Linked DNA regions of Mus musculus. The protein of the gene in region 7 interacts with the protein of the main gene of each other region in a biochemical or structural test. Links are inferred from orthologs where the notes say so. Each region holds a gene or a part of one and is shown on either strand. Other genes may lie near its edges.

The links.
Region 1: of the proteins of Abl1 (region 7) and Atm, one has a biochemical effect on the other in vitro, tested with the Homo sapiens proteins (3 studies listed by BioGRID and IntAct, with this or other methods). The link is inferred for Mus musculus from reciprocal best matches to the Homo sapiens genes ABL1 and ATM.
Region 2: of the proteins of Abl1 (region 7) and Rin1, one has a biochemical effect on the other in vitro, tested with the Homo sapiens proteins (2 studies listed by BioGRID and IntAct, with this or other methods). The link is inferred for Mus musculus from reciprocal best matches to the Homo sapiens genes ABL1 and RIN1.
Region 3: the proteins of Abl1 (region 7) and Erbb4 form a complex in vitro, tested with the Homo sapiens proteins (2 studies listed by BioGRID and IntAct, with this or other methods). The link is inferred for Mus musculus from reciprocal best matches to the Homo sapiens genes ABL1 and ERBB4.
Region 4: the proteins of Abl1 (region 7) and Xpo1 interact in a test that uses a peptide from one of them, tested with the Homo sapiens proteins (2 studies listed by BioGRID). The link is inferred for Mus musculus from reciprocal best matches to the Homo sapiens genes ABL1 and XPO1.
Region 5: the proteins of Abl1 (region 7) and Erbb3 form a complex in vitro, tested with the Homo sapiens proteins (2 studies listed by BioGRID and IntAct, with this or other methods). The link is inferred for Mus musculus from reciprocal best matches to the Homo sapiens genes ABL1 and ERBB3.
Region 6: the proteins of Abl1 (region 7) and Crkl form a complex in vitro, tested with the Homo sapiens proteins (4 studies listed by BioGRID and IntAct, with this or other methods). The link is inferred for Mus musculus from reciprocal best matches to the Homo sapiens genes ABL1 and CRKL.

What each region holds. Positions count from the first base shown.
Region 1 is NC_000075.6:53,439,647-53,442,671, forward strand, and holds part of Atm (serine-protein kinase ATM), read right to left. Parts: intron 2,876-3,025; coding exon 2,761-2,875; intron 2,092-2,760; coding exon 2,028-2,091; intron 522-2,027; coding exon 385-521; intron 284-384; coding exon 100-283; 3' UTR 1-99.
Region 2 is NC_000085.6:5,049,447-5,053,658, forward strand, and holds the start of Rin1 (ras and Rab interactor 1), read left to right. Parts: upstream 1-1,412; coding exon 1,413-1,495; intron 1,496-1,627; coding exon 1,628-1,808; intron 1,809-1,907; coding exon 1,908-2,022; intron 2,023-2,111; coding exon 2,112-2,184; intron 2,185-2,294; coding exon 2,295-2,386; intron 2,387-2,529; coding exon 2,530-3,270; intron 3,271-3,523; coding exon 3,524-3,829; intron 3,830-4,152; coding exon 4,153-4,212. UniProt on the Homo sapiens protein: Ras effector protein, which may serve as an inhibitory modulator of neuronal plasticity in aversive memory formation. Can affect Ras signaling at different levels. First, by competing with RAF1 protein for binding to activated Ras.
Region 3 is NC_000067.6:68,072,560-68,076,059, forward strand, and holds part of Erbb4 (receptor tyrosine-protein kinase erbB-4 precursor), read right to left. Parts: intron 3,006-3,500; coding exon 2,859-3,005; intron 637-2,858; coding exon 539-636; intron 1-538. UniProt on the Homo sapiens protein: Tyrosine-protein kinase that plays an essential role as cell surface receptor for neuregulins and EGF family members and regulates development of the heart, the central nervous system and the mammary gland, gene transcription, cell proliferation, differentiation, migration and apoptosis.
Region 4 is NC_000077.6:23,290,541-23,294,040, reverse strand, and holds part of Xpo1 (exportin-1), read right to left. Parts: intron 2,579-3,500; coding exon 2,410-2,578; intron 270-2,409; coding exon 135-269; intron 53-134; coding exon 1-52. UniProt on the Homo sapiens protein: Mediates the nuclear export of cellular proteins (cargos) bearing a leucine-rich nuclear export signal (NES) and of RNAs.
Region 5 is NC_000076.6:128,586,836-128,591,102, forward strand, and holds the start of Erbb3 (receptor tyrosine-protein kinase erbB-3 precursor), read right to left. Parts: upstream 2,801-4,267; 5' UTR 2,667-2,800; coding exon 2,585-2,666; intron 1-2,584. UniProt on the Homo sapiens protein: Tyrosine-protein kinase that plays an essential role as cell surface receptor for neuregulins.
Region 6 is NC_000082.6:17,482,985-17,485,462, reverse strand, and holds part of Crkl (crk-like protein), read right to left. Parts: intron 1,803-2,478; coding exon 1,668-1,802; 3' UTR 1-1,667. UniProt on the Homo sapiens protein: May mediate the transduction of intracellular signals.
Region 7 is NC_000068.7:31,758,520-31,762,738, forward strand, and holds the start of Abl1 (tyrosine-protein kinase ABL1), read left to right. Parts: upstream 1-1,419; 5' UTR 1,420-1,517; coding exon 1,518-1,596; intron 1,597-1,653; exon of another isoform or gene 1,654-1,872; coding exon of another isoform or gene 1,873-1,936; intron 1,937-4,219. UniProt on the Homo sapiens protein: Non-receptor tyrosine-protein kinase that plays a role in many key processes linked to cell growth and survival such as cytoskeleton remodeling in response to extracellular stimuli, cell motility and adhesion, receptor endocytosis, autophagy, DNA damage response and apoptosis.

The DNA.
Region 1 (3,025 bases), on a different chromosome or scaffold from region 7:
GTAGAAAATTGGATCAAAAGCAGTTATTCACTTAAGTAATTCCTGTCCAAATATGGTGGGTGAGATGTCATTTCTGAAGTTCGAGTTTAAGGGTGAAGGTCACACCCAAGCTTTCCATCCTGGGAAGAGTCGGCTGAGATTTTTGGGATCCATGGCCTGCTGGATAAGCAAGTTCACCTGTCCACCCACACTGAGCACAGTGCCTTCCTCCACGCCTTTCAGTTTCTCTTGCAGTCTCATCAAGACACGCTCAGCTACTTTGTTGAAACTCTGGTCAGTATCACTAATGATAAAAGAACACAAAGATTACAATGAGGTGCAACCATGGAGGGCCTGGGAACAAGAAAATCTAAGTAACAACAGGTCCTTCCTGAAATATCCCACCTAAGACTTTGTTTGCATTCTTGATCATCTGCATTGGGGGTGGAATGGAGGTCGGACTCATCTTCTGGTCTCTGCTGTAGATACAGAGCTTTTAAAGGATTCATAGTCCAATCAAAGAGTGGATCGTACAAAAGAACCTAAATAGAAAAAACAAAACAGCGTGCCTTTTAATTATGTAGTTAAAAACAATAGTAACCACATCATGAAGTAATACTAGTCACAACCAACAGTGAACAGGTAACTGTTTGAAGGAAAAACAACTGGCTGTCAGAAATTTGGACTGATTTACCGAAGGCAATACAGAATTCTGTGTGTGTGTGGCTGGTCGGTGGGGTGGGGGTGGGGATGGTTCTAAAGTGATACAGGCATCGTAGGTGGAGACAGAAATAATTTCTCAGTTGCAGTCCCCTCACTCAGACCACTGCGGCAGACTGTTTATTGAGTCATCTAAAAGACACAGCTCGGCTCTTGTTATCACGGACTTAATAGTGCCAGTGAGATATGAATGGCTCTTAACCGTGCCTGCACAGGAAGAGTCATCTACAAAACACAGGGTCCTGCTGCATCCCTAGGAATCTGGTCTGAACACAGTTAACACCTACTCTTTAGAAACAGTGCAGACGACACTGTGCGCAGCCAGTCAGGCCTGCACTCTACTTCCTGCATGTATTTCCCTGTGCAGGAAACAGCTGAGCTCTTATTTCACACACCCTTACCAGGTTGCAGATGACTGCCAGCACCACACAATTCATTAATTCTTGGGAAGAATTAATGTTGCAAGCGTTGCAGACTTTCTTCCCTCTCTGTCTTGGGTCAAGCTGAAATGACGAACTGGATTTAAACCTGTACACAGCCACAGCTCCATTCAGGTGAGTTGTCCCAAAGCAACTAGGCCCGGCAGGAGCCTCAGCAGCAAATCTCCCTCTTCAGTTACGCTTGCCACTAACAAGACTGATACTCTGATTTCTATCTAAACTAGCTCTGAGATTTGTAGGGAAAGTGATACTTATTACTGATTTTTCTTCACGGAAACCAATCTCAAACTATCCAAGAGGCATACAGACATATCTATATGTGTACGCACATAATCGCGTGCACACGTGCGTGCGTGTGTAAACCAGAGGTTAATGCCAGGTGCTTTCTTCAACCACCTTTCTTCTTTATTTTTTGAGACAGTGTCTATCATTGAATGGAAACTCACTGATTTGGCTAGCCTTGCTGGCCAAGAGTCCCAGAGGTTGCCCCAGCTCTGCGTCCCCAGTGCTGGGACTATAAGCATGCACCACTAGGCCAGGTTTTGACATGGGTTCTGGGGATCCAAACTCAGGTCCTCATGCTGGTGGGGCAAGCACTTTGCCAGCTGAGTCATCTTCAGGCCCACGTGGGATGTCTAAGATGCCAAAGTGCTCATTAATTTCGTAAAGATTGGAGATTACTTAACAATGTATGATATTTCCAAGAAACATGAGGGGACTAGAGCCATTTCCAACCCCAGACTCTGATGTATGAAGGTGCTCACTGTTCCCCTTTCTGCTGCTGCCCGAGACCCACTCTACATGAAATACAGCAATGCTCTTCAGATGAGTGACTCTCTATGAGCAGGCCGATGGCAAAGGAATGCAGATGCCCTGTGCACGCTTTACCTCTACAATGGTCAGCAGGGTTTCCTGAGAACTCCGCATAACTTCCATCGTTTTTTCACAGCACCTGCGAGGGGAAACATTACAGGTATGGATTCTGTAGACGCTGGTATTTCAGCCCTTCTTTGCCTATATGCACTTAGGAATACATACTTAGAGGATTCTTGCTAGCAATTCCCCATATTGTATTTCAAAGAGCAGGACCGCTAAGACATTTAAGAGATGCTCCAGAAATTGATATAAATATATACAGATGCACGTGTGTGTGTGTGTGTGTGTGTGTGTGTGTGTGTGTGTGTGTGTCTCCTAAGCTCAGCACTTACAAGGAAGACAGTACTCCTATGAAATACTCATTGTCTTGATTACTGAGGCGAGTATTAATTTACTTTGCCGAGCTGAGATTGTGGACCTTTACTGGGGGAACTACAAGGACTGGAAGTTATACCCAGCCAAACATGATATAGAAACATGTTTTTTTTCAGACAAAATAACCACCACCTTTTTAATACCCCCAACCATGAGCATCAATAAGACAGCAAAAGACCAGAGTGAGTCAGCTAAGACTGAGTAACAGCATAAAAGTGGGCCTCTTCCAGAGGAGGTCAGGTATGACCACACGATGTCATGCTGAATTAACACCAAGGTGGCCCGTGCCAAGGGTCTCTGTGCATCATCTCTTTAAATCTACTAGCTGAATAGTTCTGATAGCAAACACTGCATGCTTTCCCTCCCTTACCTTCTGAAGACACCTTCCACACCGGTGATGCCCATCCCGTCCACAATATCTCTGCTGAGTCTAAAAGGAACTGTTTCTGGAGTGGGAAGGATCTTCCCCTGTTCAAAAGCCACTCCTAAAATAAAAGAGACGTGAGGCAAGCGAGTCTGACGGGCTGACACGCTGTCTCTGTAAGTCCATGCTAACTCTGGAAAGGCAGCCAACCATCTGGTACTCATGCTCTATTAGTCCTGGATGATTGAAAAAATACATAATCCTGTTGTTG
Region 2 (4,212 bases), on a different chromosome or scaffold from region 7:
GAGCAGCTGGTACCTCACGCAGGATTAACATTTCTCTGCAAAGGCAGGGGGTTGCCTAGTAGCTCTTCAGTGTTGCTGCTGGCCCCTGACCCTCTGCCACCACTGGCCTGGACTCCTCTGCTCTCCTTGGGATCTGCACAACTGTGGCCCTGAAGCCGACCTGGCCAAGCAAGACTGTGGTCTCCATCCCTGACCAGCCCACTCCCTCCCAAAGAATAACTTCTTCAGCGTCCCCCCACAGAGAGACCAGGCCTCATCCAGAGTCACAGCAGCAGTCCTCCTGACCTTGAACCCTGGCCCTCAGCCACTGAGCCAGGCCCAACTGTAGGAGGAACTCTCAAGCAGACATGTTGGGCCTTGTCCACCCTGACTGCCGCTGGAGAGGACGGCTTCCCAGGCTTTCTCAGGGCTATTCCTGGTGTCTGCCTCTCAGATTCCAAAGACTGGAATAAAATTTAACCTGGGACCTTGGTGTGGCTGATGTGTGGCTGCTGTATCTTAAAAGGGAATCAAGGCTTTGTGGGAGCACCTAAGACAGACTTTGCTGGGGTCCCTGTAGTTTGTGACTTAGAGAAAAGCCTGGGAGAGGAAGTTGGGACCAGAGCAGGAAGCGCCGCATGGCACAGGCAAGCCAGAGAAGCACATGGCCTTGTGTGGTGAAGGGACTTTTGGACATGCCTGGAGGCCAGGTCATGTCTGCACCTGCCCCAGACACTCGGCAGATTGGCAAGGCAGGCTAGCTAGCAGGGCCTGTGTGTGGGAGGCAGCTAGCAGCAGCACCAAGTGCTGTCGACCTCACAGCCACACTCCCCCTCTGGTTAACAGTGAGTGTCAGAACCACCCCCAGAACCTCAGTTAAGCAAAGAGCTTAGTTTCCATGGAGACACAGCATCCTTTCTCCATAGCAACCTGAAATCACAAAACCCAAGTTAGGTTCAGGAATGAGTCATCTGCAACCAGTAGGGGGTGCTCTCCCACAAGGCTGACCTTCCCCCCCCCCCGCCCCCCCTTTGCAAGGCTGGAGCCGATGAGCCAGTGACCACAGACTTCTTAAGGTGACCCAGGGGTGTGGCTTGGGTCTATGGGAACTTGGCTGATCCAGCCTAACCCCTCCCTCCCCCACTGCCTAGTGTGAGGAGGCTGCAGGAGGTGCTGTGTGGGGGTGGTCCTCCCTTAGCCGGGGCCTGATGATGACACTGGCATGGAGGGCTTCTCTGCCATTCAAGACTGTCTAAGAGTAGAAGAAGTGGACACTGGCTACATGGAGTGGACATACAAGAGTTAACTGGCGGGGTGTGACAGGGCGAACCGCCTTCAGGAAGTGTTACTCACCGCCAGGAATGTGCACGCCTGTGCCTTGGGGGTTGGATTGTCTTCCTGAGTCCCAGGAGAAGCCGAAGGAGCTCCCAGCCATGGAAGACCCTGGTGAGACCGGAGCACACCCTCTGGGAGCCACCAACCTGAACTTTGTACCTGGGCACCAACAGAAAGAAAAGTTAGTAAAGTTGGGGGGTCAGCCAGGTGCATCGGGTGAGGGCAGATCTAGGAGGAGCTGGCAAGGACAGGATAGATGGGAAGCCCAGAATGGGAAGACGTGTTCACCCCAGGTCTGGGTGTCTGCCCCCAGGCCATCTACAGACCCACTGTATGACACACCTGATACCAGAGGGGTACAGGCAGGCGGGTCCCAACAGCCAGCACGTACTGTGAGCCTTCGGGAGCGGCTGCTGATCACCCGGCCTGTGTGGTTACAGCTGCGGGCCAACGCTGCAGCCGCGCTGCACGTGCTGAGGACAGAGCCTCCGGGGGTGAGTCTCTCCCTTTCCTCAAGGCCTAGCCCGCCAAGGATGGGAGGGAACCAGCCTGGACATGGAGGACCAGAGCCTCCTAATCTCGTTCACTCACAGACCTTCCTGGTGCGGAAATCTAACACTCGCCAGTGCCAGGCTCTGTGTGTGCGGCTGCCAGAAGCTAGTGGCCCCTCTTTTGTCTCCAGCCACTATATCGAAGAGAGTACTGGCGGTGAGGAGGGTGGCCTGGAGGGCAGGGGCTGGAAGACAGGCAGGGGAGGGAGGTCCCCAGAGAACAGCCTCACTCCCAATGTCTCTCAGGTGTCTCTTTGGAGGGCTCAGAGCTCATGTTCCAGGACCTGGTGCAGCTCATCTGTGGATACTGCCGTACCAGGTGAGCCTGCCTGGGGGGCACCTGCTGAGCCCTGGGCCTGCTTCCCTGGACTGCCTGTCCTCTGCATCTGAACCCCGCTCACTCCTGACTGCTCCTTGCTCTGTCCTTAGGGACATTCTTCTCCTCCCTCTCCGACTCCCCAGAGCCATTCATCAGGCAGCCACCCACAAAGAGCTGGAGGCCATCTCCCATCTGGGCATGGGTAAGGGTACCCTGCAGCCTGTTACACAGATGGACACACAGAGGTCAAATGGGGGAAGGAAGAGCAATCAAGATTTTCCTTTGTGGGCACCCTGCAGAGCCAGCTCTGAGCACCCCCCCCCCCCATTGGTTTCTCATTGCTAGAGTTCTGGAGCTCCTCACTCAACACCAAGGACCAACAGAGGCCTTCGGAAGCCCCACCCATACCCCGGCTGAAGGCTCGCTCCCCTCAAGAGCTGGATCAGGGCACTGGTGCTGCCCTCTGCTTCTTCAACCCCCTCTTCCCCGGGGATCTGGGCCCCACCAAACGAGAGAAATTCAAGAGGAGTTTCAAAGTGCGAGTGTCCACCGAGACCTCCAGCCCTCTGTCTCCACCTGCTGTGCCGCCTCCCCCAGTCCCGGTGCTTCCAGGGACATCTTCCAGCCAAACGGAAAGACTGCCCCCTCGACAGCTGCTGCAGAGGGAGAGCTCAGTGGGATATCGTGTGCCAGGAAGTGCTGCCAGCCCTTGTCTTCCTCCCCTACCTTCCCTTCAGGAGGTGGACTGCTGCTCTCCCAGCAGCTCAGAGGAGGAGGGCTCTTCAGGAAGCCCTACAACCTCCCCACGCCTAAGCCGCCCAAGGCACCGGCGGCCTCTGCTTCGGTCCATGAGTTCTGCTTTCTGCTCTCTGCTGGCACCAGAGAGGCAGGTGGGCCGGGCAGCCACAATGCTAATGCAAAACCGATACACAGCCGTGGGTCAGCTAGTGCAGGACCTACTGACCCAGGTTCGGGCTGGTCCCGAGCCCCGGGAGTTGCAGGGCATCCGCCAGGCCCTAAGTCGGGCCCGGGCCATGCTGAGCGCAGAGCTGGGCCCTGAGAAGCTGCTACCACCAGAGCGGCTGGGTAAGGCCCGACCCCTGGCCTCCACAGGTTCATGTCCCTGGCTCTCCATCCTCCTTTGTCCTCCTCTCTCCTTGCCTTGGGTGCCTAGTGACTGCTGCGTTCCCTGTGCCCCACCCTCACTCCCTTTCTCACTTACTGTTGCACTGAATTCCCCGTCCCTATCCCCACCTTTCTCCCTACCTCCTGTCTTGGCCAGGGCCTCCTGCTCTTCCGGGCTTCTTTCCCCTGACTGCAACCACCTCTTCTCCGGCAGAATTGGTCCTGGAGAAGTCCCTGCATCGCTCTGTTCTCAAGCCTCTTCGACCCATTCTGGCTGCCCGCCTGCGGCGCCGGCTTTCCGCAGATGGTTCCCTCGGCCGCCTAGCTGAGGGCTTCCGCCTGGCCCGGACCCAGGGGCCTGGAGCCTTCGGGTCCCACCTGACTCTTTCTTCCCCAGTGGAGACAGAACAGGTGCGCCAGAAGCTGCTGCAGCTCCTTCGTGCCTACTCACCTAGTGCCCAGGTCAAGTGGCTCCTGCAGGCCTGCAAGCTGCTATACACAGCCCTGAAGAGCCAGGCAGGTAGGACCCCCACCACCTTCCCCTGTGCCACTCTTTCTGAGTAGAAACCACGCATCACCTCCCTCCACAGGGAGCCTGTCCCAGAACCCCAGAACTGCAAACAAGATAGAAGGAGCCCACTCTCCACCCCAGGAACTCTAGAGAATAGTGCCTTTCTGCCCTGTAACCTTCCCTGAGGTTGCTATGATGCTCCTGGTCTGTCGCCTAGTCACTTAGGGCTTTAGCAGGTGTAGGGGAGGGGCCACACTGTCTAGCATGGAGATTGGACCCTAGCCTTTGGACCTCTGAGGAGGCTGGAATCTCCTTCTTCCATGTCTCCACAGGAGAGAATGCAGGTGCTGATGAGTTCCTGCCTCTGCTGAGCCTTGTTTTGGCCCAGTGCG
Region 3 (3,500 bases), on a different chromosome or scaffold from region 7:
ATTCGTTTAAATTGAGTTATTGCTTAGATACTATGCACCTCGCCTGATAAAACAATCCACATGTACTTTTTAAATTAACATATGAACGTACAGATTTTGTTATAGTGTTATGATAGAAAGGACATACATACATTATTTTGGTTTATCATCTTCTGGTACTCCTCTCCTCTGGCTGTTTAGCCCTTTCCTTCTGAAATAGTCTTTCCATTTCTCTGTCATATGTATTCTATTAGCCTCTTTTGTAGTTTACCTTTCCCTTGAAACCTTTTTCCTTTCTAATCATCTCTTCCTAGTTTTGTGGCCTATACCATGTATATGTGTATATGTATGCATGTGGGTTATGCATATGAGAGAGAACATATAGCATTTGCTTTTCTGAGCCTGCTTTGTCTCATAGACATATATAGAACCATATTCAGTTTCATGACTTCACAAGTTCTTTCACATGGTCACTTTATTGCTGGATGTTTTCAAAGTTGCAAAGTTTAAATAGAGTTTGTTATTAGAGACTCTTAAAAGCAACATCAAAATAACTAACCTGAATAACTAGGTATCTTTGAGGGTCTCTAGCCATTCTTGAAAACTCAGCAGCCAGTTCTTTGAATTTAGGTCTGCTGTCAGCATCGATCATCCAACCTGGAGATTAATACACAGTAAAATATTAGTGTATGTAATAATTAGTAAAGTTGAAGTTTGGGGAAATATGGGGATATATATATATGTATATATATATATGCAAAACAAAACTAGAGAAAGAAGTGAACTATGCTGTAACTCAATTAATTGACATTTGTCACAAAATGCAATATACTATAAATAACATTTTTTAAATTCAATTATTTTTAATTGTTTCTATGTGTGGGTATGGGCATATGAGGGCAGGTACACAGAAGCCAGAAAAGGGCATTGGATCCCCTGAAGTTGGAGTTGCAGGTGATTGTGAATCGCCTGACGTAGGCATTGAAAGCTAAATTTGTGTTTTCTGCAAGAGCAACAAAAGCTCCTAACTGCTGACCCATCTTTACATGATCCCCAATTTTCATTCTGAGTCAAACTCAATTTTTTTTTAGCTTGGAAAATAGCTTTTAAGCTAACCATGGGAAATTTTAGAACCTCAGATTTTGTTGTTCTTGTTTTGGAGTGTTAAGATAATGTCCTTAAAGCATTCTTTGATGGCTGCAGAGATAGAAAATGAAGTTTCAGATCAAGAGTACATGGTAGGAAATATTTGCTTCTCATCATAGCACTGTAGTACAAAAGATTGAAAATGGGGAATTTGATAGCAACTCCTTTTGGCAGGTTTGTTCCTGTTTGGAAGGAAAATGGAACATGATTTATAATGTGTGTTCAACAATCCTCATTACATTTATCTTAGAATTAGCTTTCCCAGAATAAAAATACTAGTTTTCAAGGTAGGTAGTCTTCTTTAGCTGGGAGTTCAGAGAAAATGGATCTTAACTGCCTATGCTCTGTTTAGCTGATGAGATGACAAGAATAACAGCGCCCAGCTTGCTTTGATTTCCTTGCCAAATGATCCTTTTCTAAAGCATAAACTCTCCAGGGGAAGAGAGAAAAACAAAGGTGAAACATTGTATATGCTTTGTCTAATAAGGCAAAATGTTTGCCTGCCTTTCCGTCATCACATTGGGGTATTCAGATAACATCTGATGCTGGTTATAGGATCAAATTATCATATAACATAGGGATGTTTTTAAGCTCTCTCCCAGGTCATGGAGTAAACAAGGACTGATCTAATACAGAATTCTTCTATTCCTGGAGAGTTAATTTTTAATTCTTGTTTTGGAAATCCTTTGGGTATCATCTTATGCATCCTTTGTGTCACCTCTCTTAAGCTCAAGCACTCTGCACCTTATGGGTATTCGTTTCCAAAAAAAAAAAAATGCTTGTTAATACCAAGATGCTAATGACAAAGCTACTAGAGCCAAAAAAGGTTAACTTCAGCGTGAGATATTTGTTTCTCCCTAACTAAATATTGAGTAAATAGAACTATGCTTAGAGAAAAGGGCATGCTGACCTGCACTGCAAGGAACATTTTTTATTCCTTCTCTTCCTGTCAGAATAGATCACACATGTCATGAATATAAATATGAGAAGACCTGGGCCCAGAGTCTCAGAGTCTCTTATTAATAAAATGCTTATTCACCTTCACCACTTAGTGGCTTCCTTTAACCCTGTGTAAATCAAAACTGGAAAACCTCAGATTATACAAGAGAGATGGCTGCCAGTTAATCGCACTTAAATTAAGTCAGAAACCCCAGAGACTTTTTTAATTCTATTAAAATTAGGGGTCTAGGCTTTCAAAACACATTTATAATACATATGTGCCTGGAGTATAGAAGTGGAAAGAAAAGTAAGAACATTTGATGTAAGCAAATGACCAAATTAAAAAGAGTAAACATCTTAATCTTTACTTCGTTGTGGATTCGTCTCTTTTGACTCCCAACCTGCTCTGTTAACTTATGTTTAATTAAACCCATATCTACTTTAATTCATTTTCAGACTCTCAATGATGTTTAGCTATTTTCCCATAAAGATTAACATTAATATTATTACTAACATTCTTATGAATAATTATCTCTCTTTATGACAAACTTCAAAGGGTATGGAAATTTGAAAAATTGTAAGAGTAAGAACGACATAATTTTTACTTTGTAACTTAGTGGCATACTATTACCTCATAATAGTAATTACCACAACATGTATTTATATTCTGCATTCGTAAATATTCTTGCTACTCTATTTAACAATTCAGAGAAACATTTTGCAGGTAAAACAATCTAAACTTTTATTTATTAAGAATGATAATGCAGGCAGAAAGAGTGATTTTGCAGCCTTACATTTGACCATGACCATGTAAACATCAATAGTGCAGATGGGAGGCTGAGGCAGACGCTCTCCTTTCTCCAGTAAATCGGGGATTTCTCGGGTTGGAATTCCATCATAGGGCTTTCCTCCAAAGGTCATCAGTTCCCATATAGTGACGCCTAGTTGGAAATACAATTCTCACATAAGCAAATTACTGTCACAATTTGAATGAACACGTATCACGATGCACTTTTACAAAGCAAACAGTTGAAACTTAAAGAAGCTCCTTTCTGGTCTTTCACTCACTGCCAGGATTCCAATGCTAAACCTTCCGGAGACAAGTCACAGTAAGAATTCTTTCACCATTGTCTTGGTGATTTTAATGCATAGCAAGAAAGATTTATAATAGATGCCAGAATTTAAAGCAAGTCCTCCCATTTGTACCTAACGGCAATGCCAATGTTTACTGATGAAAATTGTTTCACATACACTAAAATCCAGAATACCATGCCTTTACTGTATGCATGTGTTTAATGCCAAATAAATGTAATTTCAGGAAAAGCCTGACATGGATTAATTTTTAAATTAGTCTCTTGGTAGGAAACGTCTTCATCAAAGGCAGAGGTGATCGGTTCAGATGGTTGCAGGTGGCTGTTGTTATGGTAAAGCCTTGT
Region 4 (3,500 bases), on a different chromosome or scaffold from region 7:
TCTTCAACCAAATTAAACATATATGCAAGAATTGATGCATGCATTGTTAGACCTGTTGAACAGAGGAGACTTATTAAAAAATAAAAAGGAAACAAACAGAACACTTAAGTGATTTAGTGATTTTCAGCTCTTACCTGCAGTATGTGAAGTGTCTGTTACAACAGAGAAAATATGCTGAAGAATATCACAAAAATAAGTTTGATAAAAACTCTGTGCGGCAGCTTCCTCTTGTGCAACATTTTGTAAAAGTGTAAAAAGTATCTGTAAGCCTAAAGTTAACAATAAAAATTCATTACAAACTATTGGTGTACATAAAAACATATATACATCTAACACTTGGGAGGCAGAGGCAGGCAGATTTCTGAGTTCGAGGCCAGCCTGGTCTACAGAGTGAGTTCCAGGACAGCCAGGGCTATACAGAGAAACCCTGTCTCGAAAACAAACAAACAAACAAACAAAAAACCACAAACAAAAAACCAAACAACAAAAAAAATCTTGTTTTCTTTTCTCTTCATACTCTCTTTTTTGAGTGGGTGTGTTGTTTGTTTTGTTTGAGTGTGTGTGTCTGAACTGAGTGTGTAAGACCAGGATGGCCTCAATCTCAAACTCTGCCCTGCAGTGCTCATACTAAAGGCATGGGCCACCATGCCTAGTGAGCCACACCACTCCCATTTTTCTTGAATCTGTGTATTAACTTTAAATTAACAATGGAGCTCACAGACTCCAAAATATGCCACAAGCATCATAACACATAGTCAGATATGAGAACTAAGCAAAGACATGCGTGTTTTATTTACTCAGACAGAGTGTTGCCCTGTAAATTAGGTTAGCCTTAAGTGGGAAACATTATTTCACTTGAACTTCTCCAGGACTAGGATTAAGAGCATAAATAACCAAATCTGGTGTTTGTTTTGGCTATTTTAAACAAACATTTTAAACCATTTATTACCTAGAAATAAAGATAAACGTAACAGTACAGGTGAGAGAATTGTATGCCCCAACAAGAAGCCAGAGTATCACTAGAGTTGTATCAGTGGTTAAGGGCACTGCCGTTCTTCTGAAGGGAAGGTGGCTCACACACATTTTCTGTGGGCACCAGGCCTATGAGTGGTGCACTGACAGATATGCAGGCAAAATACTTAAACACACAATAACAAAGGTCTAAGATATAACTCAGTTGTACAAAGCCAACATGTCCAGAATTTAGAAAGTAGAGACAGAATGATCATTAAGTTGGAAGACTAGCCTGGAATACATGAGACCCTGTGTCAAAAAATAAATTGGAGCTGGAGAGGTGGCTCAGCAGCTTACAATGCTTTTTGCTGCTGCAAAGAATTGATTCCTAGCACCAATGTACTTCATGGCTCACAACTATATCCACAACCTTGGTTCAATGGCATCCACCACCCACTTCTGGCTTCCACAGGCTCCAGGCAAGAATATGGAGTAAAGACATTCATAAAAGCTAAACAATCATAAACACTGGTTCTCAACCTTTCAGTCCTGATCCTAAAGGTGTTGAATAACCCTTTCATAGGGGCAGCCTACGAGCCATGCAATTACCCATGGGTATCCAGACAGCAGGATTCCTACACATGGGAATTCCTACAGGGTCCCAGAGAAAGCAAGCCAAAATGCCCAGAAAAGAAAGTTGTCTCTCTTACAGTGGAGCATAGGTCAGTAAAGAGTAAATCCTGCCCTCAAGTTTATGTGTATGGATGCTTATACTCTGTCTGTGTACACACACACACACACACACACACACACACACACACACACATACTGTGTACATTGTGCCTGTGGAGGTCAGAAGAGTATAACAGACACATTGGAACCAGTAAGAAATCAAACCCAGGTTCCCAGGAACAGCAGCAAGCAAGCATACTTAGTCTTGCACATGCAAGCCATGACACACACCTCCACGCACAGGCAGAGATGAGATAGGGGCTAGAGAATTGATGAAAAACAAATCGCCAAATCAACACTGGGTGTAGTGACACACACATTTAATTCCACCATTTGGGAGGCAAATCTGAGTTCTAGGACAGCCCGGGCTATACAGGAAATCAAAAAAACAAAAAACAAACAAACAAACAAAAACAACCAACCAACCAAAAGAACAACAAAAAAAAGTTCTAACACCACACTGGTTTTTAAGATAGATACTAAGAGCTAATGGACAAAGAGCATATACAAAACTCATGAGCTCTATGAAGGATGATGAAACATGTCCCTACCAGATGCTAGAATGGCTCCATTTAAAAGTAATCAATTTTCACTGCTGAATTGACTCAGTATTTTAGAAATCCCTGAAAACTAGATGCTCATGCCTCCTCCCCCCCAAAATTAAACAGTTACTGAGACTTAAGTGTCTATTTCTGCTTTATCAAATAACTTAAATGTATTTACCTGTATCTGCAACATTCCTCATAGTATGTTTAAAAGCCCAAATAATAGAATCCAAAACCAGCTTGAACTGTGCAGGTGGAATAGCTAGGAATGCTGGGAAACAGTGAGAATTGACAGCTTGAAGTAATAAGAAAAAGTTTGTTCTGTGTTCTGGATACTCTTCAAAATCCTAAAATAAGAAAGAACACTGAAACATTTCAATGCCTTAAAAGAGGAAAAGTTTCTATTTGCATCTACCTTCAAAGTTTCCCCCAAAGGAAAGCCCAAATTTTAGGATTTGTTATCATTTCTTGTTATCATTGGTTTTCAAAGGCAGGATTTCTCTGGATAGCCATGGCTGTCCTGTCACTATGCTTTGTAGACCCAACTGGTTTAGAACTCAAGAGAAATCCACCACCTCCAGGCTAGAATTTATATTTTAAAGATTTAAGTACCATGCTCTGGAAATATTCACAAATCAGCAAACACAGCCATGCTTGTCATGAAACACCTACTCTCAGAAAGCCTGCTGAAGTCTGAGGCCAGTTTATGGTTGGCAAGAAAATGCTCTTGTCTCAAATCTACTCACCAAAGGTCTGGGTGTGTGTTTACATCACAACCCATCTGGAAAACTTTTTTTTAAAAAAGATTTATGTGCCTAGCAGTGGTGGCACACGCCTTTAATTCCAGTACTTGGGAGGCAGAGACAGGCTGATTTCTGAGTGCAAGGGCAGCCTAGTCTACAGAGTGAGTTCCAGGACAGCCTGAGCTATACAGAGAAACCCTGTCTCAAAAAAACAAACAGAGGATTTATGTATTTCATTTATGTGAGTACTCTGAGCATCAGACCCCAATACAGATGGTTATGAGCCACCATGCTCAGAACTGAACTGAGATCAGCCCAGGAGGAACTTTTAAATGCTACCACCCAATTTTATCCTGCTACATATTGAAACCAAAAAAACAAAAACAAAAACAGTAGACTATCTGCTATCCCCTAAATTTTAAAAGTTATCCCATACCGAGGTTCAGTCCAGATTTAATCCCCACCCCTTTCTTTTGTTGACCAAGCTGTTATATGTGTATGTCATATATAGACCAGAAACCTAGCT
Region 5 (4,267 bases), on a different chromosome or scaffold from region 7:
GACCTCACTGGAGGGAGAAACCCTGGTAGTGGGGTGGGGAGGTGGGGTCAATGGGAGCTTTGTCTTTAAAGCTGGATGATAAGGAACTGGTGGCCTCCCCTCTCCTAAACTCTGGTTTCCCTTCTCACTCCCTTCCCCTAAGCCAGCATGCTCCAGCTCCCCCGGCAGCAGGCATCCCTGTGCAGTCCCGAAGTGCTTTTCACCAAACAGAGAGGTCTGGAGAGAAGCAGAACAGAGCCTCCACTCCCAAGCCTTCTTCCCAATTTCACTGCCAGAAGGATTCTTTAAAGAGACTGCTAACATGGCAGTGCTCCCCAATAGACACTCCAGGGGAGAGAGCCCAAAAGAGAGGCCAGTACAGTACATTTCAGTTCTTGGGCTTTCACTTTCCTCCCTGGAGCTCTAAGTATCTTTCCTCTGGCGCAGTAAGAGCACGTGGGGAGGGTGGGGGTAAGGGGTACACCACCAACCACCTGTTCTAACCACCCTTCCCTGAGGCGGGGCAGGAGGCAGAGAGCGAGTCAGAGGCCTCAGCTTCTCCTGTTAGATCTATGTCTGGTCTGACCCCTTCTTCTAGATCCTCTTCCTTATCCTTTCTTCATATGATGGAAGGAGTGGGCCAGTTCCAGCAAGGAGGCATAAACAAGCTAGACTCTCCTAGAGAAATCTGGGAGCTCCAGGGTCCTTGGGGTGAAATAAACGCCTGGGAAGGTTAGTCATTTCTGGAAGTGCCCCACCCCTGTCCCCTTCCTGGCAGGACACCCCTCTTCCAAGTTAAGGTGCCAACCCTTCTCCTCAGATAGGGGAGGAGCTAAGATATCTGCATAGGGAAATGATGTGTACCTGTGCGTGCATGCTGGCACACAAACACGTACACAGTTACTCTGGTGCAGAAATATATATTGTTTGCCCCTGGGGCCCCGAGTTGGGAAGTTTTACAAGTGTCCAGTCCATCCCACCTGCCCACAATGCCTTGCACACTTTGTGTCTTGTGCTTTGCAAGGCCCTACAGGTCTGTCTCGGTTACCTGCCACCCTTAGGGTAAAGTCCACATTTCACAAACAGGGGCAAAGGGCCTGGGTAGGACGGGAGTATAAACAACTACCCAGGAGGAACCAGGCAACTTGGGGCGCACAGGAAGCAGCGAGAACTGCGGGTGGGTGTGGGGTGGACCACACTCACAGAGGAGCAAAGGCTCAAAGTCAGAACCTTTCTCTGTGGAGAGCATTGACTGCGCAGACCAAGAACCTCCAGCCCTCAGAAGCCCCAGCCACACACACAAGGGGACAAAGGGGCTATACAAGGCTTGAGACAGGGCCGGATGCCCAGAGGCTCAGGATGGAGATAAAGGATAGAGAACTAAACATGCCTGCTCCCTGCCTCTTGAGGAGGGTGGTGGGAATCTTGGACTCTTGGGTTCCTGGTTGGTGGGGGCACAGTCAGATGGGACAGTGATCCAGTCACTCCCCTGGCCCCTCCCACTTCAGTCTCCAGACCACCCCCTCCACCAGCTGGGAGTGTTCACATCTCAAGATCCCAGGGGCTAAATTTAGGCCCAGCAACTGTGGGGGAAGCACAGGTGGTTTCTCCCACTCCCACTCTGGGGAAGGGGCAATGAATGTGCCAACCCCAAACTGAGATCTGGGGATCTGGGAAAGGGGAAAGATCAACAGGACTCTAATGATACCAATTCTAGTGCTCTTCAAGTGTCCATAGTCCCAGAGACACGGAACAGGCTCAGATGGCATTGAATGGGGGAAGGGCAGAAGTTGGGTCTAGGAGCCAGTTCACAGAGTAGAATGTTCAGAAGGTGGGAGAGGTGGCCTTAGATTGGAGAGAGAAAGAGGTCTGATTGTCCTTTCTTCCAGAGCTCCAGCTTAGGGTATATAACCTGGAAATAGTATAGTATGTAATAGATGCCCAACATGTTCACTGAATTAACCTGGGTCTTGATAAAGAGAAGTTGGTTAAGTTGGGGACCGGTTTATCTTATGGGAAAGCAGGCAGTCAGCCTCTGTGAGACCTCTCACTGATGTCACCTGGACTTGGCCCTCAGGTTAATCTCAGCCTTCTCAGGACAGCCCCACTCACGGAAGAGGAGGTGCCATTCTTGTTTTTCCAACATTAGAAAACAACAACTTCAAACCCTTGCATAGCCCCGCCCTGTCGGCAAAACAACGAAACTGGGGGTTGTTGAAACCTGGAATGGGGTGGGGGCCAGGGAACCTGAGAGCAAACGGAGACCCTTTCAAGCCAAGGCTCCTTACGTTTACAGAAGGGTCCCTGCCCACCCTCCTCCCAAGACTCTCAAGTGTGAACTACTGTTCGGCACCAACCAGATCAGAATAAAACCAATTAGAGGGTCGGCGACGCCCTGGGAATAAGGGTAGGCATACAGGAATGCAGTCCCTGACCAGCCCACTCCAAGAACTGAGGCACACGGTCCCCTCCTTGGTGGTCCGAGCAGACCCTGTACCGCACCCCCCAGTTCAAAGCGTCAGAACCCAAACTCCTTGCCCAGGGTCTGCGAGCGCTCAGATTGCGCCCCCAGCTTCCAGCCTGCTGGGGCTCCCGCGCGGCTTACCTGCCTGAGAGTTGCCCATCTCGGAACCCCGGGCCAGGCTGAGAAGGAAACCCAGCACCTGCAGAGTCCCAATCGCACTCATGATTACAGTGGAGGGTGAAGGGAGCCCAGCCGAGTCTGGCCCGGGGCCCCCAAGATTAGGAGGACATCCAGGCGACAGCCACCTGAACAGCCAGCGATTAGGTGGCCGCGGCGGCAGCGGAGGTTGCAAACTGCAACCGGAGCCGTAGTCGGAGTCCGGAGCGGGACGGCAGGGGAGGGTGTCTGTCTGGGAGGGAGGGAGGAAGGGAGGGAGGGAGGGAGTGAAGGGGGAAAGGGGTGAGTCACGGCCGCGCCCCCTCCCGTGCGAGGCTGGAGTCCTGATGGTTGTAGCCCGAGACACCCGCCCAAGCGTGCCCCGCCAGCCCACAGCTTGGCCAAGAGGGTCAAGGAGGGGTCTCACTCCAGCAATTTCCCCCGGAGATGGTTAAGAGGAGATCAAGATTCCAAACGTCCCCAGGCGGGGGAAAGGTAGTGAATGCGCGTAGGGAGAGCGCTCCGAAGCCCAGCCCCCAGAAAGCTGGCCTCGCCCATTAACCAAATCACTCAACTCCCCTAGCCGGTTGGATCACTTGAGGGATTTTTTTTTTCTTTCGGAGTGTGAGTATTTCTATTTTTTCGAGTGGGAGGTTGTTTTTCAGCCTAGCGTTCATGCCACCTCAGTTTCCCCGGGACGCAAAGCCCCGTAACTCATGTACCCAGCTCGGGAACCCGAGCCCCGGAGGCTGCGTGAAATCGCACTGTCTCCGGCCGCTTCCTCCTGCAGACCCGGCGCCGGCTCGGCCTCTCGGGGGGATTTGCCTGGGGGGCGGGGGCGGTTTCCAGCCTGGGAACAGACCCCGGAGTCCGCCTTCCCACTTCTGCCCGGGGAGGGGCTCCCGCACCTGTCGCCGTCCCCTCTGCTGCCCCCCACGGCCTCCCGAGAGAACAGCTGTCTCTGAGGGACCGACCGCGCCGTCCGGACGGCCGCGGTTCCCGCCTCTCCTCCGCGGACCCCAAAGGGCACAGCAACGCTCACCCCGGAGGCGACAGCGAAGAGGGGCGCGGGGAAGTCACCGCACATGACCCCCGGGACCCTGGGTTGCTTCGTCCCGGACGGGTCCGACTGGCGCCCCCTGGTGCCCAACTCCTTACATTTCGCATCCCTTACATTGGCATTCCAAGATTTTGCCCTGAGAATTTATGGTCCCCTCCCCCTAGGCTAAGGCTATCAGCTACACTCCTTTCTTCTCTTTTGTTTATTTTTTGGTTTTGAGACAAGGTCTCATATAGTTCATATAGCTCAGGCTGGCCTCGAATATATTATATGGCTGAGACTGTTGGCTTCCACCTCCCAAGTACAGATGTGCGCCACCATATCCGGCTCTCCTGCTACAATTTTTAAAAAAATTTGTTATCATTCCTGTGTGTATGATCGTTCGCGCTATGATATGCGTATGGAAGCTGGAAGACAACTTTGGGGGAGTCGATTATCGCTTTCCACTTTTACCGGGGTTGTGAGATGGAACTCAAGTCAACAGGCTTTCTCTGCAAACCCATTTAGGTATCTGTAGAGGCCAGAAGAAGTCGTTGAATTCCTCGTAACTGGAGTTACAAATTATTGTGGGCTGCCATGTGGGTCTAACCCTGGTTCTTTGGAAGAAC
Region 6 (2,478 bases), on a different chromosome or scaffold from region 7:
TTCCTAGAACCCACAGAGTAACTCCACAGTTCCAGAGGATCCAACCAACACCCTTTTCTGGCCTCCTAACAAACTACCCATGTGATACACATACATACATGTAGTGGAAACACCCATATACAGTTTTTTTTGGGGGGAGGTCTGAGGGGGGGATTGGGCCATCTTCTGATACAAGGTATGTATGTAGGCCTGCCTGTCCTGTGACACACTACATAGATCAGGATAGCCTTGAACTCTCAGAGATCCACTTGCCTTTGCCTTTCTGAGTACTGGGATTAAAGGTGTGTCCACCATGCCCAACATAAACAAAAATTTAAAGTCTTTAAGAGAAATAAATATAGTGGACAAAGGGTTTTGTTGGTTTTGTCACCTGAATATGTTCCATTAGTTCTCAAAGCCTCAGGCCTGCAGAACCAGGGCCATGGTTACAGAAGATATTCTGTAAATGCTAGAGCTGCTCACTAGCCACTACTCCATCTCTAGGTCTGCTACGTTCGTTCTGTGTGGAGGTGTATCCTCATCAGGGTCCAACTGAAAAGAGTGCACTCTAGAAAGGTTCTAGAGCTCTGGTTTGCCATGTGTGGATGAGGGATCAGACACATATCTGTAGTAGCTGACATGCAAGGAAAAATGGCTCATGATCGAGGGGCGTCTTCTTTTGCTCAGAAGCACTGTATTCTGGTTCTACTCAGGCTGTGGAACCAGAACAGACACCACTCTCAAGCTGCCTGGACAAGCTAGGTCAGTACAGGAAGGGCTGGGTGGCCTCTGTGGTGGAACACAGCAATGCAATTTAACTCACGGATCTAGTAAGCCCACAGACTTCAAACGTTTTCACTGAAGAGGCCCACCCTGTCTGCTCCTGTCAGAGGCAGCGATGACAGCAGGCCCACCCCCACCTTGGTGCTTCACAGCAAGGTACACCATGACTGCTGCTGTGCACTGTTTGCCACATGGTAAACAAGGTACTGTGGCAACCAAAAGATAAAGGCCCCTGGAGGGGGTCTTTTCCTATTTTAGTTACGTACAGTGGCTTCAGTTTGGAAGCTCAGAGACATGGATTGTTCCTTAGACCATCATAGACCAACCTACTATTTAAAAATCTGTTCAGAACACACAACTATAATTAATTAGTCTTCCAAAAAACAAAACTAAACAAAAGAAAATGAAAACCAGCCAGACTTGAGGAGTTCGGGACAGAATTGTCTGGAGTTTTACTTCCTCTGTCGTCCAAAGAAAACTGAGTTGGTGGCAAAACCACTGTTCTGTGGACCAGCAAAGCGAGACCTTGCCAAGCCTCACCGTCTCCATGCAGACCATCAGCAGGCTTGCTTGCTCTCTCTGTCAGCCTCCAGTACAAACAAGGCAGTGATGGATGGGAAGGAAGAGCTGCTCTGGGTTCCAGTCTCTACTGTGTGCTTCCACCAGTGTTTCCAGTTCACAATCCACAAGAACTCTAAATCAGCTACTCTTTGACAGCATGACTATGATACAAATGCCGAGCCAGCGAGCAAGGCAGCTGCTGAGGCATTCCGTATGTGCAGGGACTGCCAATGTATGGAAAGCTGACCGCCAGCAGCTCGGTGTAACTTGCATGTGACAGAGTGCTTCCCACTTCAAAGGAGACTGACAGGCAGAAGGAGGCAGCAGCAGGGACAGCACAGCAATCACTCGTTGTCATCGGGGTTCTGAGGGTCAAAGATTTTAACATGTGTGAAGGGGAAAAGCCCCTTGCGCCCATTCACCTCGCCTTCCCATTGGCCATTGATATTCATCCTTGTGACTTTCACAATGTCACCAACCTGTAAGGGAAGAGGGAAAGAAAACAAAATTAGCATCACTACAAACAAGGAAGACAGTTTACATTAAATCACAAACACTGTCTATACAAAAATCAAGTAGTACAAAGACACGAGATGCCACCAACCACCCAGGATACCTGTCGCTGGCAAAAACTCAGGAAGCAGCCTCTGAACACAGAGCAGCCACTCCCTCCAGCGTTACTAATAAATGGACATGTATGAGCATCCAACTCTAAGAACGTGCATGTTAAGCTGAATAAAAGGGTAAGAAGTGCGGACTGGTGGCACATACCTTCAATCCCAGTCTTTGGGAGGCAGAGGCAGGCAGATCTCTGAGTCAGCCTCATGGACAGAGCGAGTTCCAGGACAGCCAATGGCTTACACAGAGCAACCCTGTCTTGGGAGGAAAGTGGGAAGTAGCCAGGTGTGGTGCTTATAATCCCCACAGACAACACACAGGAGGCTAAGAGGACCTTCAGTTTGAGACCAGCACGGACTTAATAAAACCATCTTGCTCTGACAGTATATTTATGTAAAACTGAAATGATACAGAGATAATTAGCATGACCCCTGCACAAATGTGTTAAAGCATTTCATACTAAAAGACCACTACAGCAAACAAAAACAATCTAGAGCTGGTGAGAAGTTCCGTGGGAGAAGGCGTTGAAGTGCTTGC
Region 7 (4,219 bases):
TTACGGTCGGCATCATGGAATCATGGAGAGGTTGGCAGGATCAAGACAGCGCTAGTCAGCATGTGGGCTCTCACAGAAAATGGTCTCCCAGGATCAGGAAAGTATCCAGTTGGTACCCTTGCCTCCTGGGCACTCTGGTCCTTTTCTCCAGGAGATTGAATGGCGTGAGTTCTGAAAGTCCCCTGGGTACTTGTGAGGCCTGTTCTGGCAGCAAAGTAGGTCCACTTGGCTTCAGACACATTTTTGGCACAGACACATTTTTGGGTTGATTAGCACGAAAAGTGTGTGACATCCTGGCTGAGAGGCCTGTCACAGGCACAGTCATGGCACTGTTTTTTTTTTTTTTTTCTTTTGCTTTTCGAGACAGGGTTTCTCTGTATAGCCCTGGCTGTCCTGGAACTCACTCTGTAGACCAGGCTGGCCTCGAACTCAGAGATCCACCTGCCTCTGCCTTCTGAGTGCTGGGATTAAAGGCGTGGGCCACCACGCCCGGCAGGTGATAACTTTTGTCATGGATCTAGCTATCCGGTACAGTCTGCTTAGAAGCCAAGAGACCAAACTTTGGAACCAGGCAGACCCTGACTGAGTTGAGTCTTCTGGTTTCCACCATGTGACCTTCTGGAGTGTCTGTTCTCACATGAAGAATCTGGGTCATGATATAACTTTCCTCACAGGATTAGGTGCACGCACCCTCTGGGTACCAAGGCACATGGAGCACTTCTCAGAGAACCATCCTGGGACAGTCAGCTCTTCAAGTGCAAGGATGGGGACCAGACTTTTAGTTATGTGACATTATTTCATAAGTTTATTTTTCCCTTGTCATTGGAACTTGGGTGAGTTTTTATTAGATTTGTTGTAGTTGGGGTCCTTGTTTCCCACCAACTTAGTGCCAGTAGTCCACTGCTGTGACCATTGCTTAGTTAAAATCTTGTTGGTAACCTCGAGCTAGCGTTTAGGAAAACAAAAACTCACCGTGAAATGGATTCAAACATTACCTGTGGCACCAAAAACAGGGGAAATTCTTGTAAAAATGAGGTCAGGAAGGACCGCCATTCCAGCCCACAATGAACACGCACCATAGAGACATTTCCCTAAGCTTAAACTCACAACTCCAGGTCTAAATGGGTGGTTGGACCCGCGTCCGGTATTCGGTATTCCTGTGGGTTCCAGCCCTGACTGTTCACATTCCTCAGATACCCACTTTAGGTTTAATCACAGTCGCTCCCCGAGACCAGTCCTGGTAACTTGAGAGGAATTTGCATTTCCACCGACCTTCCCGGACACGCGGCAGGGGCAGGGGCTACGCCAGCGCAGCTACGCAGCTGGGGAGGGCGTGGAGCCTTCCCTTGGCCTGGAAGGGGTTAAGGGACGGCTGGGGCGGGGCGCTGGGCCCTTTGTTACCGGCCTAGGCGGGAGGCGGGAGGCGGGACGCGGGCCTGGGCGCGGGCCTGCTGGGAGCGCGGCCTGGCGGGGCTGGGGGCCCGGGGTGGTGGGGCCTTCGCCGTGGCCACGGGACCATGTTGGAGATCTGTTTGAAGTTGGTGGGCTGCAAATCCAAGAAGGGGCTCTCTTCGTCCTCCAGCTGCTACCTGGAAGGTAAATCCTGGCCTGGGCGCGGGGCCCACCAGGACTGTCCTGCCCGCCCGTGCCCTGTGTGTTCTAGGTCCCCAGTCTTCTCCCTCTGAGGCCTCTGCGGGTGCTGGTGGCTCATTCGGACTTCCAGAAAGAGAGAGAGAGCCGCGGCTTTGGCGCTGGCGGGGCCCAAGCGCATAGTGTGGCTCCTGCCCAGAAAGTTTGAAAAAGTCAGTGCCACAGGCCTTAAGGTCCTTGTGAGCCCACGTTGTGGTGTTTCCACTGCCAACTGGGAATTGTATGTCACAAAGGTGGACCTACACCAAGTGCCGCGTACAAAGGGATCCCGCTCTACCATTTATGGGTACAGAATTTCATGTGAACTTTCCACCCCCACCCCCACCTTTCTGCAGACCATGAAGAGGTCTTGGGGATTGTCTCTTTTTAGAAGAGAAAGAATGGTTTTGCTTGTATTTCCAGGAGTTTTGAGAGCTTCCAGTTTGATGCTTGGTGAGGGAGCCCCTCATGTTTTGTTCTTTGCATAAACTTAGAGCCAGGAGCCTGTTGCTTTTGCCTGCTTTACCCTGCTCCTCCAATTCCATGCCTCCTTCCTGTTGTCTTTAGTGTTTGGGTCTAAAAGGATGGCAAGGGAAAAGGGTGAGTGGTGAGTGCTGGGGACTCGGCTGTGGCCAGGCCTGTTAGAGTATAGCTGACCTTTGTGGGGACTGCTGCCTTCTTCAGAAGGGCAGAAGCACTCACAGATGTGTGGTGCCCTGGCTTTTCTGGCTGTTTCATGTAAGAGTTAAGATAGGAGTAAAAATGTAAAGTTTTCTTCAGAGCAATTTGGATTTCTACTGTTTTGAATTGTAAAGAATTGAAGGCTTTTCAATATCTAACCTGCTTCCCCGACCCCCCTTCCAAGTCTTTGACTCAAAGACCTACAGGGCCCCACATGACCCAGCTCAGACTTAGGTGCCCAGCTCGGGTAGAGGATGTTCTCCCTTTGCTAGAAGGGAGTATAAGGGACTTCGCTATAAGTCACAGTAAGATTTCAGCCCCTCCGGGGATTTCAGGGCCTGGATTCCTGAGAGGAGCTTGGTGTGGATGGCATGAGCTCAGGGCCTACCACTTAGAGGGAGGGAGATGGTTTATTTGTCCCCAGAGTTGGCATCTGAGCGGCCAGAATCATCCTCAGTTAATGCGTTGCTTATTTTTTCCAAGTTGCTCCACACTCTCCGCACATTTCTCCTCCCCATCTGTATCCAGTTAGTGAGAGGCACTATCTCCATTTTGAGCCGCTGGAGGCGGAGATGAATGGACTTTTGTAACTGCAGAGTTGGGGCATGTCACAGCTTTGCTAAGGTATCAGCTTGTTCCTGGGGTAATGTGGGATTTAGTGCAGAGCTGTTGGTTTAATTCTTGTTTTAGAAGGGGGAAAAAATCCATTCTTATTCCAGCATAATCCTTAAGGTGAATTCTAGCATTGCCAAGTTCCAAAGGAGTGCTGTCCTCACTTGGGTTTTGTAGGCCTTCTCCAGGAAGGTGTCTCTCTAGGAGCTCTTTCTGTTCACTGAGTTCAAAAAGGTAGACGGAATTCTTGTTGTGTAGCTGACGGAATCAAGCTAGCCTCGGTGTAATTATGTCTTGAAGACGGAAGTGCTGTCTGTCTCTGGGGAAGAGAGCTGTTGCCAGAATCTGGGGAAGTAATCTGGGCCTTCATTTCTTGCTTACATCCTAAATCAATCAATCAGTTCATGACACCCACCCAGAGGCCTGGGCCTCACAGGCCAGGAAGAGAATTGAGTATGGTGAATTTTCCATTATTACCAAATGCATGCTCCCTGCTGCTGTGCAGAGAAGGCCTGGTCAGCACAGACAGCAGCAGCAGTTAGATGGCCTTAGTGGGCCAAGCATTGTCTGCATTCCACATGCCCTCACTTTCTGACTTCTTATGGTGGCCCTGATTATCTCATCTTGTAGATAAGAAACTGAGGCACCAAAAAAGGTTAGGTGACATCTCTGAGATGACAGAATCAGCAGGTGGTAGTCCCAGGATTTGAACTTGTGCTATCTGGCTCCAGGGAATTGCACAGAGAGAGAGAAAGGGGGAGAGGGGGTGGAGAGAGAGAGAGAGAGGGAGGGAGGGAGAGAGAGAGAGAGAGAGAGAGAGAGAGAGAGAGAGAGAGAGAGAGAATGAATGTTGGGTATTGGAAGCCAGGGCCTTGAACTACACCCATAGGCCCTTGCCAACTTTTGAATTTTGAGACGGACTTGCCAAGTTGTCCAGTCAGGCTGTGAACTCAATAATCTGTAAACGTAAAGAGACAGGCTTTGCACTTGGCATTTTCTTGCCTCAGCCTGCTGAGCACCTAGGATTTCAGGCTTGCACCCCAGCACCTGGCCCAGAAAGCCCATTCTTAGCCTGTCTGTGCTAATAATGGATCATTGGTCTGCCGTGGCATTGTTCTCCCGTGGAAAACACTATGGATCATTCAATACTGTCTTTAGAAATGCCCAGCTAGGGCCTAAACTGTACCAGTCTTTTCCTTTCTGCATCAGGTAATAGTAATACACCTGCTTTCATAAAGCAACAGGACCAGGAACATTTTTTAAGCAAACATAAAAATACTTGTAAGAAAATTCTGAA